2 linked regions of the Mytilus edulis genome follow. The protein of the gene in region 1 binds, or shares a complex with, the protein of each later gene. Links are inferred from orthologs where the notes say so. Each region holds a gene or a part of one and is shown in the gene's direction. Other genes may lie near its edges.

What was found. The genes of interacting proteins can lie anywhere in the genome.
Region 2: probable ATP-dependent RNA helicase DDX46 (region 1) and splicing factor 3A subunit 3-like share a complex: the UniProt entries of both Homo sapiens proteins name them as parts of the 17S U2 SnRNP complex. The link is inferred for Mytilus edulis from reciprocal best matches to the Homo sapiens genes DDX46 and SF3A3.

Annotation. Positions count from the first base shown.
Region 1 is NC_092352.1:81,864,656-81,872,417, forward strand, and holds the start of probable ATP-dependent RNA helicase DDX46, read left to right. Parts: upstream 1-4,674; 5' UTR 4,675-4,788; coding exon 4,789-4,805; intron 4,806-7,762. UniProt on the Homo sapiens protein: Component of the 17S U2 SnRNP complex of the spliceosome, a large ribonucleoprotein complex that removes introns from transcribed pre-mRNAs.
Region 2 is NC_092353.1:19,795,246-19,802,313, forward strand, and holds the start of splicing factor 3A subunit 3-like, read left to right. Parts: upstream 1-3,979; 5' UTR 3,980-4,067; coding exon 4,068-4,163; intron 4,164-4,972; coding exon 4,973-5,020; intron 5,021-6,116; coding exon 6,117-6,169; intron 6,170-6,777; coding exon 6,778-6,883; intron 6,884-7,068. UniProt on the Homo sapiens protein: Component of the 17S U2 SnRNP complex of the spliceosome, a large ribonucleoprotein complex that removes introns from transcribed pre-mRNAs.

The DNA of each region.
Region 1 (7,762 bases):
AAGACCCTATCAGTGAATCAATGTTAAAGCCAAAATATGCAATCTTTAATGACCTGACAACAGTATCGTAACTATATCCCCTTTTAATAAGTCTATTTAAAGGTTTTGTTAGTTTCTGAGGAGAATACTGACATTTTTGTGCTTTATAAAGAATATTTCCATAAAATTTTGGATGTGAAATACCTGAACGTATAAGATGTCTGCATGTTGAGTTATATTTACGAATTATTTCCTTATACCGGTGATAAAATTTAGTAAATGTTTTGACCAGTTTGTGATATCGAAAACCCTGGTGTAATAATTTTTCAGTAATACATAAATTTCTCTCGCTAAAATCTAATACATTGTTACATACACGAGCGAATCGTACAAGTTGAGATATATAAACACCATAAGATGGTGACAAGGGAACGTCACCATCTAAAAATGGATAATTAACAATAGGAAATGAAAAATCATCTCTTTTATCATAAACTTTTGTATTAAGCTTCCCGTTTATGATATAGATATCAAGATCGAGGAAAGGGCAGTGGTCATTGTTAGCATTAGCTTTGTTTAAAGTAAGTTCTACAGGATAAATTTCTTTAGTATACATACTGAAGTCGTCATTATTTAGAGCCAATATATCATCCAAATATCTAAAAGTATTGTTAAATTTTTCTATCAAATGTTGTTTTGATGGGTACCATGTATACCTTCAGTTTACAGCATGGTTAACAAATGGTTAATATCAAAGATTCAAAAACAAATTATAACATAATATAATCTTGACTTATTTCACACTCAAAAGGTCAAAATACATTTGTTGCTAAAAAAAATCTTAAAGACTGACAAACACCATGAACACACTGAAATATGGTGGGACATCAACATCGTACTTATGAGAAATAGTGCACCATATGAGGAATATTCAGTACAAGAGAGACATGTCATCATGGTCATGTTAATCAGTCAGGGGACTAACTGAAATAAGTGATTTTTAAATCACTTTGGTGATTTTTAAATCACTTTGTGTAGCAAATTCGAAGTTTTGTCACAAATTGTGATTTTGTAGTTTTACCAAAATTTTAAACACATAGGTTTAAATAATATCTTTTTATTAGTAAAATTGAAAAAAATGAATTTTTTGCTTGTTTTAAGTATCAAGGTTTATGCCTTTGATGCTATCATTTAGCTGCAATTCTATTTCAGTTGAAAAAAATGCTATAATAATGGCTTTACATAAGGCCACAATTAAAAATATTTCAGTTTGCCCAAACCCGACCCATGATGACTGGGTGTGGGTAGGTAGGTAGGCAAATTCTTTTTTTTTTTTTTTTTTTATCAGAATTTGCATGAAAATATTAAAAGATCTTAAAACAGTATATCTTTTTTTTTTCGTCAAACCTTTGTAGAGAAAACCAAAAGCCATGAATTTAAAACCTCTATAAATAAATTAGTCTACTATATGATTTGTATCCTGAGATGTTTATAACACTGACAATTGCTAGCTGTGTGAAAGGGCTGGTGGATTTATGAAGTGATTTTCAACAGTTCCATCAACACGATGTTTTTGTAAAAAAAATATCAGCTGATTATGTAATGATTAAATTTGTTTGCAGTTTTTAAATCCTATTTCTATTAAAATATTTATATGAATTATTATCTACCATCCTTAGTTTGTGTCTTGTTTATGTTTTGAAAACAAATTTGTATTTACATTATCACACAGGTAAACTAATTTGGCTATACCGGTAAATAGATCAAAGCATGTTCTGTAGAATCTCCAAACTAAAAACGTATTTGTTATAATTTTATTTCTTTAAATAATCAAGTTTAAATTTTTGAAAATAATCATTATTGATAAAATATAATTGCATAAAGTTAACGTTTTCTGAAGACTATTTATTTTTAGGTCATGGTTCTAGAGGCTTCCTCACAAATTTGTAGAAAAATCCAATATGGCGTCCATAACATGTTTTTACTTTTGCACATGTGAAAAAAATATTTCTGTCAAAAGTCAGATTTCTCTTGTCAAAAGGGATTTATATTGCAATAAATTATTCAGAGGGAGTTACATTCAGTTAAGATTATATTTCTGATTCTGTGAACAATTATAGTTTTATCAAATTCTCCCAAACAGCAACGTACTGATCTTGTCTAATGAGACTTGTAAATTTGAACTATTTGAATAAAAGGGCATCTAATTTACATGATAAAGAAAGATTATAATTAAAGACAACAATTTATCAAGAAATAATTCTTTTTTATTCAGTAAAAACAAAATCTTCTTGCAAGATTGTAAATTCGCAACTTTTCCGGATCCATTTCCTGTCAGAATAACATTGAAAATATTCGATTGCACATGGTTTTGAACAAATCTACCTGAATATTCTTATCAGATATTCGATAACACGATGAAATTAACATTGAGCATATAGGTAAGGGTTTGGTAGTACAGACAACTACAGCGTAAAAAAAACTGCCACTTCACATGTTTTACTTCTTTACGTTCGTTAAATCAGAAGATAAAAACAGAGAACATCGAATATCGATTAACTGCGTCTTTTATACGCTTTCTTTTAATCTTATTCAGTTACTTTCAAACGCAAAGACGACTAACATTAAGTTTTGTACGATGACGGAGCGGACCCAAAAAAAATTCTTCAAAAAAAAATTCTTCAAAAAAACGTCCAAAAAAAATTTTGAGTCGGCGGGTTTATTTTGGGTTGGTCGCGTTTGGGCAAACATACAATCTTTTTATTTTGGCCTAATGAACTGATACTTTCTTAACAGATTTTCCCCAGCAGTGGGAGTATTTTTCCTGTAAAGTTCAAGGTTTCATCTTTCAGATTATGTAATAAAATTCTACTGTTCACGATAAAAATTTCACTGTTCGGGGGTGTTGAAATTAGTAGGTGTTAATCCTTTATTAAAATAATGCTACTTAAAGAAGTGATTTTTGGGAAGGAAATTGAGGTATGATACTTAAACAAGTGATTTTTATGTCATTATCCTAGATTCAGTACAAGGTCATCACCTGAAATGACCTGGTCATCCTCCGTGGCGGATCCAGGGGGGGGGGGGGGGTTCCGGGGGTGCGCACCCCCCCTTTATTTTTGCCAATCAATGCATTTGTATCGGGACATATGTTTTGCACCCCCCCTGCACCCCCCCCTTTGCCCTGGGTTAGCACCCCCCCTTTTGAAAATTCCTGCATCCGCCCCTGATCCTAGACAACACAGATGTTGGTTCTGATAAGTTAAGAAACATAATTAGTCCCTGGATCATTAGTATTCTATATCTAAAGCTACAGTAAAATTAAATCACTTCTTCTAGTGTTTATTTTGTACTACTTAAATAGGTGATTATTAAAGAAAGACAACTCTTACTTTCAACCTTTATGGAAAGAATGTTACTTGAATCAGTGATTTAGAAAATCCCTCATTTAAGTAAGTCCCCTGACTGTTAATAGACAACTTTCGAGTTCGATGCATTTTCGACAAAAAGTCCGGTTTTAATAAGTCATTTGAGTGTTTAGGGGCGTCATCACTTCCATTCCAATGTTGAGCGAGTGGTTGGAAAACTATAATTCTCATATTGTACAAATTATTCGGAAAATTGAATTCTCAAAATTGACAATCAGCACTGCTGTCATTAGGGAATTTTCATTTTAATACCTCAAAACAACCATTATCTATTAACTTATCAGAAAATTATATACTATCATGCATGTTTTTCAATCCATCTTGTATGGGAAAGGATTTGTATAGGCACTGCCTTTTGTCCAATCCCTTTGTTTAAATGTACATTTGATATTTGAACAATAAAATATTTTGAATTGAATTGAATACAGGTCATACCCTCTATCTGGTAAATGACGTCATAAAGGTGTGTATAATTGACAAGTTTTTTCCGGTGAGGGATGAACTCGAAAGTAATATTATTGACCTTAGGATCAGGAACATCAACCAAGAGATTGAAAAGCTATAAAAACAAACTGTAAATATTGTAGAATAAGGGATATCATGATCTCAGTGTTGCCTCCAGATTTTTTAACACCCATAGTAGGAAATATCCTTTTTGTCAATAGTCGAGGGGCTAAGTGATGCAAAATTGCAGCAAAAAAATGGGGGGGGGGGGGGGGGGGGGGTGTCATGCAACATTTTTTTTAAAGAAAATTTAAAGGTATGTCCCGCATTTTGACCTGATCTATTTGAGTTGTCATTTGCAGATACAGAAAATATTGATTTTATAAAATGTACAGCTACACCATAATAATTCATCTATTGGAGATCCAACCTGCCTTCTTTTGTGATCTCTGACTGACTCGGTCTGCCTTGTTGGCAACACCTCCTTTTTTAAATGTTAAAAAAAATTATGATTTAGTTCGAGGAACCTACAAAGAAAAATGATTAAAATAATGATTAAGAAGATGGTCACCTGATAAATTAATTTGTGGAGAAAGTTTCAAAACAAAACCATGTGCTGCCTGCGAGAAACAGTTTCCGGTAAAATGTCGTAACATGTGTACGATTTTATATTTCATCTAATATTTTACAATCATGGCTCAAAAACTTTCAAAATTATGATAAATAAAAATTTAAGGGCAAATATTTCGATACATAATACAAAAAATAAATAATTACGACAATTAGGCTTTTGGTAGTCAGTTGAACGCTTAACACACCGACTGTTTCGTGAAAAATAACAAGCACTCACATGACAGCATTGAAGGAAAAACGTTTGGCTGGTTGTCTTCATCGTCTCACACTTGAAAGAAAGGCTTGAAAGGAGAGAAAAATAAAAATGCCCCGAGACGGGAGGTATAAGACCACCAATTATCTCACTATAATGTTTTAAGTAAAATGACTATCTTACAAAACGTACCAAGCTAAACAGGTTGGGAACAAACGGTATCGGGATCGTTCGCCCTAGGTTCGTTCGCACTGAGTTTGTTCGCCCTGGTAATCCGTTCGCCCTGGGTTCGTTCGCCCTATTTTCATTTATGATATGTACAATGGATACGTTACATTAATGAAAGAAATATATATTTATATATATTAAAATTTATGTATACAGAATATTAATGAAATAAAATTCTTGGCTGCATTGTTACACTTTATTTTATATTTAATAAATTACTTTTAATTACTGTTGATTGAATTTTGATTGCTGATAATTTGAAATCTTTGATATCACTGATTGTTATATGAATTGTCTTTGATGGATTAATATGAGGCAGGCATTACCTGTAAATGGGGACGAAGTCAGTATGAATTATTTTTTTGTAACTTAAATATTTGTTAAAAAAAAGAAACGGAAATACGTAACGTTTCTGATTTTGGTTCTGTTGTTAGGAATTTAGTTGTGACTTTATTTAAATTATGACGTCATGTGCAATGTAAACAAAGAAACGCTATCATCAGGTAACGTTTTTTCATATCAAGGAATTATTAAAAATGAAATTGGTATTGCACGTTCCTTCCTATTTTATACTAGACTGATAAATATATATTTTACTCAAAGTTTCATACTAACGAGACCGGAAAAAGGAAGTACATTATACATTTCTGCGCAGGTCCGGGATTTCAAAACACGACAAAAAAAATTTGAACGATTTTGAGTTCATTAGAACAATGAAAAATTCGGGAAATTTTCCCGATTTTTTTTTTTATTGAATTTTCTACTGTTATTGGGGACTTCGTCCCCATAATAATGAAAATAACATTTTTCTCAAATAAAATTTTTACAAAGTTATTGCCAAACTGTACAAGCCGTCCGACAACCCACTAGACAACGTTCAGCTGCTGCAGTAAAGAATTTTAGATCAATTAACACTTTGAACTTTGAACACTTTCTTATGTATAACTTAAGTGCTCCTAATGTATCATTTTTATTGATCAAATCATGTGTGGAAATGTAAAGTAAAACTTAAAGGATGTGTGATAGTGATTTCCTAGTAGCGTAATTACATGCAGATACTAACTTAGTTCTCAATAGTTCGTAAATATTCGGCGAAATTGTAGACTGACTTCAACATATTCAATTAAATACACACAACACAACACTATAATAAAAAATAAAAATCAGGGCGAACGGTCTCAGGGCGAAACGGAACTAGGGCGAACAGTAACTAGGGCGAACCGAAATCAGGGCGGACGGACCCGGATTCGGAACAAACCCCCTGTATTATTGTATGGTGATTATGGTAAACGGACAGAAAGTCACAGGACATAAAGTCACAAATTTGGTAGGACAAAAAGTCACAGGACAAAAATTCACAAATAATTTGTTGGCAATTGTTTGAATATATAACTAAGAGAAATATCTAGAAATATTTACTTTTTAATACATATATTCATATTAACATGATTAAAGTTTCGGAAATGTGTCAAAATCCGATGGGAATAACAGATATAACATCAAAACCAAATACATGAATTTGGGATAGAAAAGTACCGTGACACGTCTTATAGTAATGTGAATTCACACTCAAATATAGGAGAAAACAAAAGACACAACGGAAACACAACGTAAAAATGTTACACACACAGAAACGAACTATGATATAACAATGGCCACAGGACATTTTTAAAGAAAAAAATGGTGGGTTGAACCTGGTTTTGTGGCATGCCAAACCTCGCATTTGATGGCATTGTTAAATATAACATTAAAATGACAACATAATAATACAGGACTACAATACAAATAAATAGGAGAACGTATTAGGCAAAGAAACACATGAATAATAGATAACAAAAGGCATCAGGTTTAAAATTCATTACGTCAAAAACGCGCCTCGTCCAAACAAGAATTACCAGTGACGCCCAGATATAAAAGTTGGAAAGTCAAAAAAAGGGGGTGGGGTACAAAGTTGTACAGCTCTGAGGATCAAAAGTTGAAAAAGGTTGTGCCAAATACGGCTAGGGCTTTCTGCTTGTGATAAGAACATCCTTATTATATAGAAGAATTTATGCTATTGCAAACAGTGAATTTTATCAAATGAATATAAAAGATTTACATGATAAAACTGACGTCTTAACTAATTACAAAAAACAAAACCCGAATACATAATACATTGAAGACCAACACAGAAAATAGACACGCCCGACTCAGTGACAAACCAGGCCTGAACTCAAAAAGTAAACAATGACGTCACATACGAACGAAATGGTGAAAAGGCACAATATTACGTCATGCAGACATTTGAATTTCTGAAACAGCAGAAATATGACGTCATATATAATGGACCATAATTTGCTATTGGGCTCGTTTCCTATAACGATAGAAAAGTGATAAAAATGTGTATTACTGTAAGAAAAGTTGTAACTACATCTAAAGATGCCTTTATTTTTATCAACATACAAGTGTATGCTACTCTTCCCTAGAAAAAAAATTGAAATTAACAAATTTCAAAGATTATATGACAGTATTTTTGTGTCGTTTCTCGCGTTACTTTTCGCTTCCGAAGTGCATAACGCTGACTGATTTATAGATAATCGTCACCGGCAAATTCGTAACTTTTGCTTTCAAATAATAAAGAACATCGACCAATAAGAATAGTCAGAAGAAAATGCCGAGAACTATAAGTATTTCTGTAGCAGGTGTAAGAACACTAGCATTACTTTGGTTTCCAATTTCGTAACGCAAATTTTAGATGATGTAATCTGCTTTGTTGTAATAGAATTCTTAATAACAATATGCAAATATGAACTCTCGCGAGATGTTCAAACAGGTAAATCAGAGATGATTTACATTCTAGTTTTGTTCTTCGTAATAA
Region 2 (7,068 bases), on another chromosome or scaffold:
TGAGAAAAACCGGTCAGTGGTGGTCGTTGGTTGCTGTCTGTCATATTTTCCCCGTTAATACATTGCCAAAGTTTCAGGTAAGTTTATTGATGGATTAAGTCGGAGTGCCCGAAAAAAAAACCCACCGACTTTCGATAGGAAACGGGCTTTTGACAAGAAAATTTCGTAATAATATCAGTTATACCGATTTTTTTCTGAACGCCTTCATATATTGAGCTGATTATCTTTGTGTGAGTCTGTTATGATGATTTACAGATCGAGATTACGTTTGGTGAAAATGGTGTCTTGAAATTTTCATTGATAAAGATATTTCTTCAAAGGGGACAGAGTTTGACCCGTGTTAACACGATTAATACCCATAAACCAAATTGAAAAAACCAGCCGAATTCTTCTTCTTCCACTTTGTTGTTCACTTGGTTTGCCAAAGAGAATCCACTCTAACATAGGCACTAGCTTAGATTTCACCATCATCACAGAATTATGTCACATCACTGGAATGGAAGTCAAGAACCACGGCATGTCATCCTATGGGGAATAGCATGACAAAACGCTTCAACCGAACACTGATCAGTAAGCTTGGTACCATTGAAACAACAAACAGTGGAAGTCGCGTGTCATTGGACTCGCCAATACATATAATTGTACTCGATAGACAACAACTTGGTTTTAACCGTACTTTTTGATTTTTGGTAGACCACCAAGATTACCAGTGGACATTTGCCTGGGTTAAGATATGAATGGCAAGAAAGAATCAGCAACGACGTATGTCGATGCCGTGTAAAAGCGACTATAGAAGGAATATGATTTAGCATCAAGATATGCATGAACAGCTTAAGATAGACAGAAGTCATTTATTAACAAAAAAGTTAGAGGTGCCATTCTACAACCATGCGACAGAGTGCTTGTCAGATAAGTAGTCACGACGGGAAACAAGATTACATACACGTGGTAAGAGGGCTCGTACCGTGTTGTTACACAGCCTAACAACGACACCCCAGTGTATTTGATTCAGAATGAAAATGGAGAGGGAAAGAAGAAAACGCTACACAGGAACTTTTACTACCTTTTTTAAAAGCTGCCGATTGATACTAGTAATAAACCGAATAGCTATATCATACAGCTGCAACAAGTTGTTTATAGGAACAGCATACAAGGAAAACAACTGACAACGTCTGAAGGCATCAAACAGACTGATGAGACAGAGTCAGATTAGGAGTCCAAAATGGAGTAGTAAATGATAGTGCCTGAGATGACTCCACAGGGTAACCGTGACAATGATGCTCCAATCAAATGTCGAAAAGAACCAAGCAACTGAGGCTCTCAACTCTACTGGTAACTCTCGTGCTATCGTTGTGGGAAGACAGGACTCTGGTTTTGGAGAGGATAGTCTAGTGTTGAGTTGAGATGTTTTGAATATTAGGAGGAAAGGAGCAGAACGTATGTTTGTTTATGTTGGGGGAGTGGTATCCATGAAAGAAAACAGTTGTGGAAAACATTTGCATAAAAGAATTTAATGTTACTTAAAGTTATATTTAATTTTAATTAAATAATGTAATAGCAATGAGGTGTCCTATATATATGACCGTTCAGTCGTCACAATCATGTCTAATTTTTGGCAACAGTAGTGTACCAATGTTCAATTCTCATAATCAATTTTAAGATGATTGATACACCAGAGTAACAAAATAAGTGAGGATATCTCATGAACCCCAAAAGGAGTGAGACTAGGGGTGCATCGACATGGTACATTAGTTTCTATATAATTTTCCTGTCATGATCATTCTAATGCCACAAATAAAAAATTAAGTAAGTAACAGAAAAAATCCTTATAACAAAAAAACTAAAAACAACATTAATTATTAATGCTGTTTGATAGAAATGAAACTGAATGCAGTCGTGAATGAAAATAGACCCCCAAAAAAACATATCCTTCAAAAAAGGAATAAAAGCGTTGTTTACTCATATGTTATAAAGAATAAAATTAAAAATATATTATTCATGGCCTATACAGTAATACCATAAAATCGTCTTATAGGGCTTGAAGAGCCTAATAATAATCGAGAAAACCTTCCAGAAGTTCAAATGCACTGGGGAAAAAAAACAATTTTATAACTATATTGATAGTATCAAGATGAATAAAAAGCAACAAACATCACTGGAAGACGTGTAAATCATGTAGGGTTTCCAAAGCTGTATCCTCAAATATATTTGCGGGAAACTCAATTTCAACGTTATGAAAAAAATGACCGTCGCCATCTTCCGCATAATTCCAGAACTTTGCTTTGCAAATATGTGCAACCGTTATAAGTTCAACAAGTAAAATACTTTGCATATGTTTCAGTTTTTGAAAACGAGAAAACATGCATTTATTGTATAACTTTTTTTTTTAACTTCTCTTTAGGATCGAACCAAATTACCCAGAACAGGTACACATCTGGTTTGTAACTAAATAAGGTTGTTATGTCAGCAATAGTTTACTTGGAAAATATGTTTATTGACTGTATGAATTACATGTATTTAATTCCACAAATAAATAAACTTATCCGTAATATTTGATAACTTGTGATCGAGTTACTAGGAAGTGAAACTTATACAAAATCAATTTGTAAACAGAAGCTGGCTGGTGGAGATTTATTTCCCCGAGGGTATCACAAGCCCAGTAGTCAGCACTTTTTGTGCTGGCATGAATTATCATTGATATTGTTATATTTATAAATTAACTGTTTACAAAATTGTGAATTTTTTTAAATAATAAGGCTTTTCTACCTCAGGCATAGATTACCTTAGCTGTATTTGGTAACACTTTTAGGAATTTTGGATCTCAATGCTCTTCAACTTTGTACTTTATTTGGCTTTTTTTTTAATTTTTGGATTCGAGCGTCACTGATGAGTCTTTTGTAGACGAAACGCGCGTCTGGCGTATATACAAAATTTAGTCCTGGTATCTATGATGAGTTTATTGACCTAAACAGCCATTATAATATTTTTGAAAAACCTGATACAGTAACTCATCAACAGAAGTTCACCAAAGTCAGCATAGAGACAGCTGTTTTGTATTTGATGCTTTTCATACGTTAAACTTCTTGAATATTTTGAAATTCACATCCATATCTTTTCTGTACACTGTCTATTCTATTTGTCTGTAAAAAGTTCTCGTTTCGTCATCAAATCATTGATTTTCTGTGCCTCTCCCTTTGAATGTGTATACCAGTGGCGGATCCAGAACTTTTCATAAGGGGGGCCCGCTGACTGACCTAAAAGGGGGGGCCGCTCCAGTCATGCTTCAGTGATTCCCTATATAATCAACCAAATTTTTCCCACGAAAGGGGGGCCGGCCCCCAGAACCTCCCCCCCCCTCCCCTGATCCGACTACGTATACTACCCGGCTGCTTGTCCGCAGTCTGTGTGTTGTTGAAATATTTTGGTTATATATTCTTGACCATGAAGATTGGCCAATACAACTTGAAACTTTGTTATTCTCTTACATCAGTATGATCAGATGGTCTTTTGGGTCAAATTATAAAATATCTAAAAAAAAAAACATGTTGATGTTGATGCGAACTGTAAGGCATAGTCAAAAGTTAACAGTCAAGTCTTCATAAAAAAAAACATTTTGACTTACAAAGTCAGAAATTTCAAAACTGGCCTTTTATCAAATACGAGATATTTCTATAGATTAGTATGGCGTGGACACTATTGCGATCAAAAGACAGTGTTCCAGTCATAGAATAAATGTGCATGCGGTGTCCAGCATTGTGCACAACCCAATACTGTCAAGGCTAAACACAGCTTTATATTTTTATTGTACAGATTGCCAATTTAAACAAAATGTGCATATTTGATTCCTGTTTTTGTTGTTTCTTGTCGGTTGTTAGTGATACTTGATTTAATCAAAGCGTTTTATGAGATGGGACGAGATTGTAGGACGAAAAAAGGCGATTCCATCAATCTTGAAATCAGTAACGCGTTTTAAGGAATTAGTTTTCAATAGGGAAACTGAAGCTATATTTTAATGAAGACGAACTATTTTCGTTTTAGCATCGACAAATTAATTTCATTTTAACGATATGGAAACACTTCTTGAGCAACAACGACGATACCATGAAGAAAGAGAACGACTTCAAGATGCAATGACCAAGGAAATGCTTCAACCTAGCAAAAATGTATGTTGGACTTATCACGTAAATTGTAATCATTTCATGTCAATGTTCAATGATGTTCCAACTTCAAGTCACCCAAATTCACCAATTTGACCCAAGAAAAACAATGTATTATTTTCAGCGAACACGAATCAGAACAATACCGTTAGTTGAATCAAATAATATATATTATCAAAAGTTAATGTTATGATAATGATTAAACTCCTTCAAAATTAAACATAAATGTATGCATATGCAAATTTAATCCTATACACCTTATCGCTATTTGTCCGCCATTGCTGGAAATCACACAGGTTCCCGTAAAATTTTGACGTCATAAAACAAAATGTCTGACGCCACAATGGAAAAGTGATTGTTGTTGACGTCAAAAGTTCAAGCGGACAGGTCAGCCGGGAATAGCGATAAGGTGTATTGCTGCTCGAGGGACACATGTGTCCACACCGAATGTACCAGACCAAGGATTTTTATAGTGTCTCACTATACAAATCCTTGACCAGACACATATAGCCATGTTTCAATTTATGAAATCTTCTCTTCATTGCTGTGTCTTTTTCACATCTACATTCTACGTTGATCTGTCAAACAATAGTTTACTTGGAAATTGTTGTCGAATGACGTCATTACTTGACATCTGAAGTCACAGATGTCGAGCTGTCATATTTTCTGGCACACAAAATGCAACCTTGAAAAACAACTGGCAGCAGAGGGTGATTTTTTTCCATTATTTGTCAATACATTTATGTTAATTGTTATACAATATAGCTTCCAGTCATGCCAGTCATTTTTATAAATTTAAAATAATGTTATTTCAGGGTAGAGAACAGATCAATTCAGACCAGCGACTTCGGCATCTACTAGATGTAAGTAATCATGTAATAAATGATAATGAATGGCAAAAAAAAATGCATCTCAGAAATTTTACAAGAAGATCAAGTTTTTATTCTGTAAAAATGATAATTAAAACATTTATTGAAACAGTTAATATAGCGAAAGCTTGTGTGCTTTTCTTATCAAATGCATAAGTTGTCATTTGTAGTGGGAATTTGCATGATGTTGTTTTACCATATGCATAGATGCCAACCATTACGATTTTTCCGTAGTTTTTCCGATTTTGCGATAAAAACTACGCTATTACGGTCAAAGTCGAATAGTTACGGATTCCCAATCATCGACGTTCAATTTTGTAAAACGCGGATTTTTATCATTACTTTTCCGTCCTGGTCCAGTATTTAGGAAACGCCAATGTAATGCTTCCGGTTTCTCGGGAGTTATCAACCTATTGTTGGGTAACTAACTGACTTCCGAAGAGGCAAACTTGCATTTTATTAAGTAGCTTTCCCCCTTTCTCTACTTCTCCTTGACAAAACAAAAATGTTTGAGTCGAGAACATCTGAACAATTAATGAATGGAATACATACTTCAGACAACATGTTAAATGACAAATTTTAGTGTGCATCACTTTGTAACCACTCGTCAGTAATTTTTATTGGTAAATGCACGTTTATGAATGATTACTGAAAACTTTTCAAAAATACGGAAAATTTGATAGTTTGTTACTGATTGTGTCAAAAGGGGGTTGGCATCTATGCCATATGGAGCTAAAATCCCACAGTTATACATTTGTATATTATACACATGTCTAGAAAAGAGTAGGCAAAACAGGCTTGTGAGGCAATTGTTTTAGATAGTTATCCCTGAGTTATGGTAAAAAAAAATGAAGAATTTGGGATGATATAATCATATTTATATTGAGTCTAAACTACATCATAAAAACTTTCATAGTCATATTTCTCTTTTGGTGTTAAATTTTAGAAAAAAACATTTTTCTGTTTTTAAATAGTTTGTATATTTGTCTTGTGCTTTAAATGAATAGTTGTAAAGTATTGTCTTATGAACATGTACAAGAAATATATATATTGCAGCTTATTTTATTTGATGAATATCATTACATTACAGAGATATGTAGAATGTACAACAGAATTAGGGGATTTGTATGAGGATAAAGATGGGTAAATATTCATAATTATAGATATATATATACATGGAGAGAGTGATAGAATTTTCTGAACATGAGATGCATGAAGTACACATTTTAAAGTTTAGTTAAATGCTTGCTAGTCGTGTTAACTGTAGACTTAAAGATTATTAATTAGTAGAATCTTATTTATGAATACACAATTGTTATGTTTAGTGACCTTCATAAAGTTTGCATGTTGTAAACTGACGGTGAAATTTTCTTTACTGTGTCTGTTGGAACATCAATTTGAAGAAATGAAAACAATACCCTGATTGGATTGATATAAAAGCAACATTTCTTCTAATAAGAATTAAGAGATGTAATGTGGTATGATTGCCAATGAGACAACTATTAACCATAGTTCAAAAAGTGGATATAAGCAATCTTGTTCTCTTATTTCATTATTTTCGCATAATAAAAAAGACACCTTTGCCTGATACTTCACATATAAAACATTTGTTCACAACAGCAGAACCATCAAAGTCTGTCTCAGTTTTGGCATGTACTGGTTGAGTTGTACACCAAGATAGTGTAGTAACTGTAGTTATTGTTCACATAGGTTCTTGAGGTCCAGTTAATATTTATTTGTTCTCTTTCCAGAATGAGAAAAGAAGAAGTACAGTCCTTATCAGGACCGAATGAGTTTTCTGAGTTCTACACTAGACTTAAGCAGCTAAGAGAATTCCACAAAAGGCATCCAAATGAGGTATGAACATTCTACATATATAAAAAAAAAAAAAAGATTTAAAAAAACAGTATCTGACATACTTGCAAATTCTATATTATTTAGACTCTCTCAATAAGTCATTTCTGGAATCATGTCTTTAACCAGAAAAGACCATCAATTTGCACATCTTCATGATGTCATTTACCAGATAGAAGGTGTGCCTG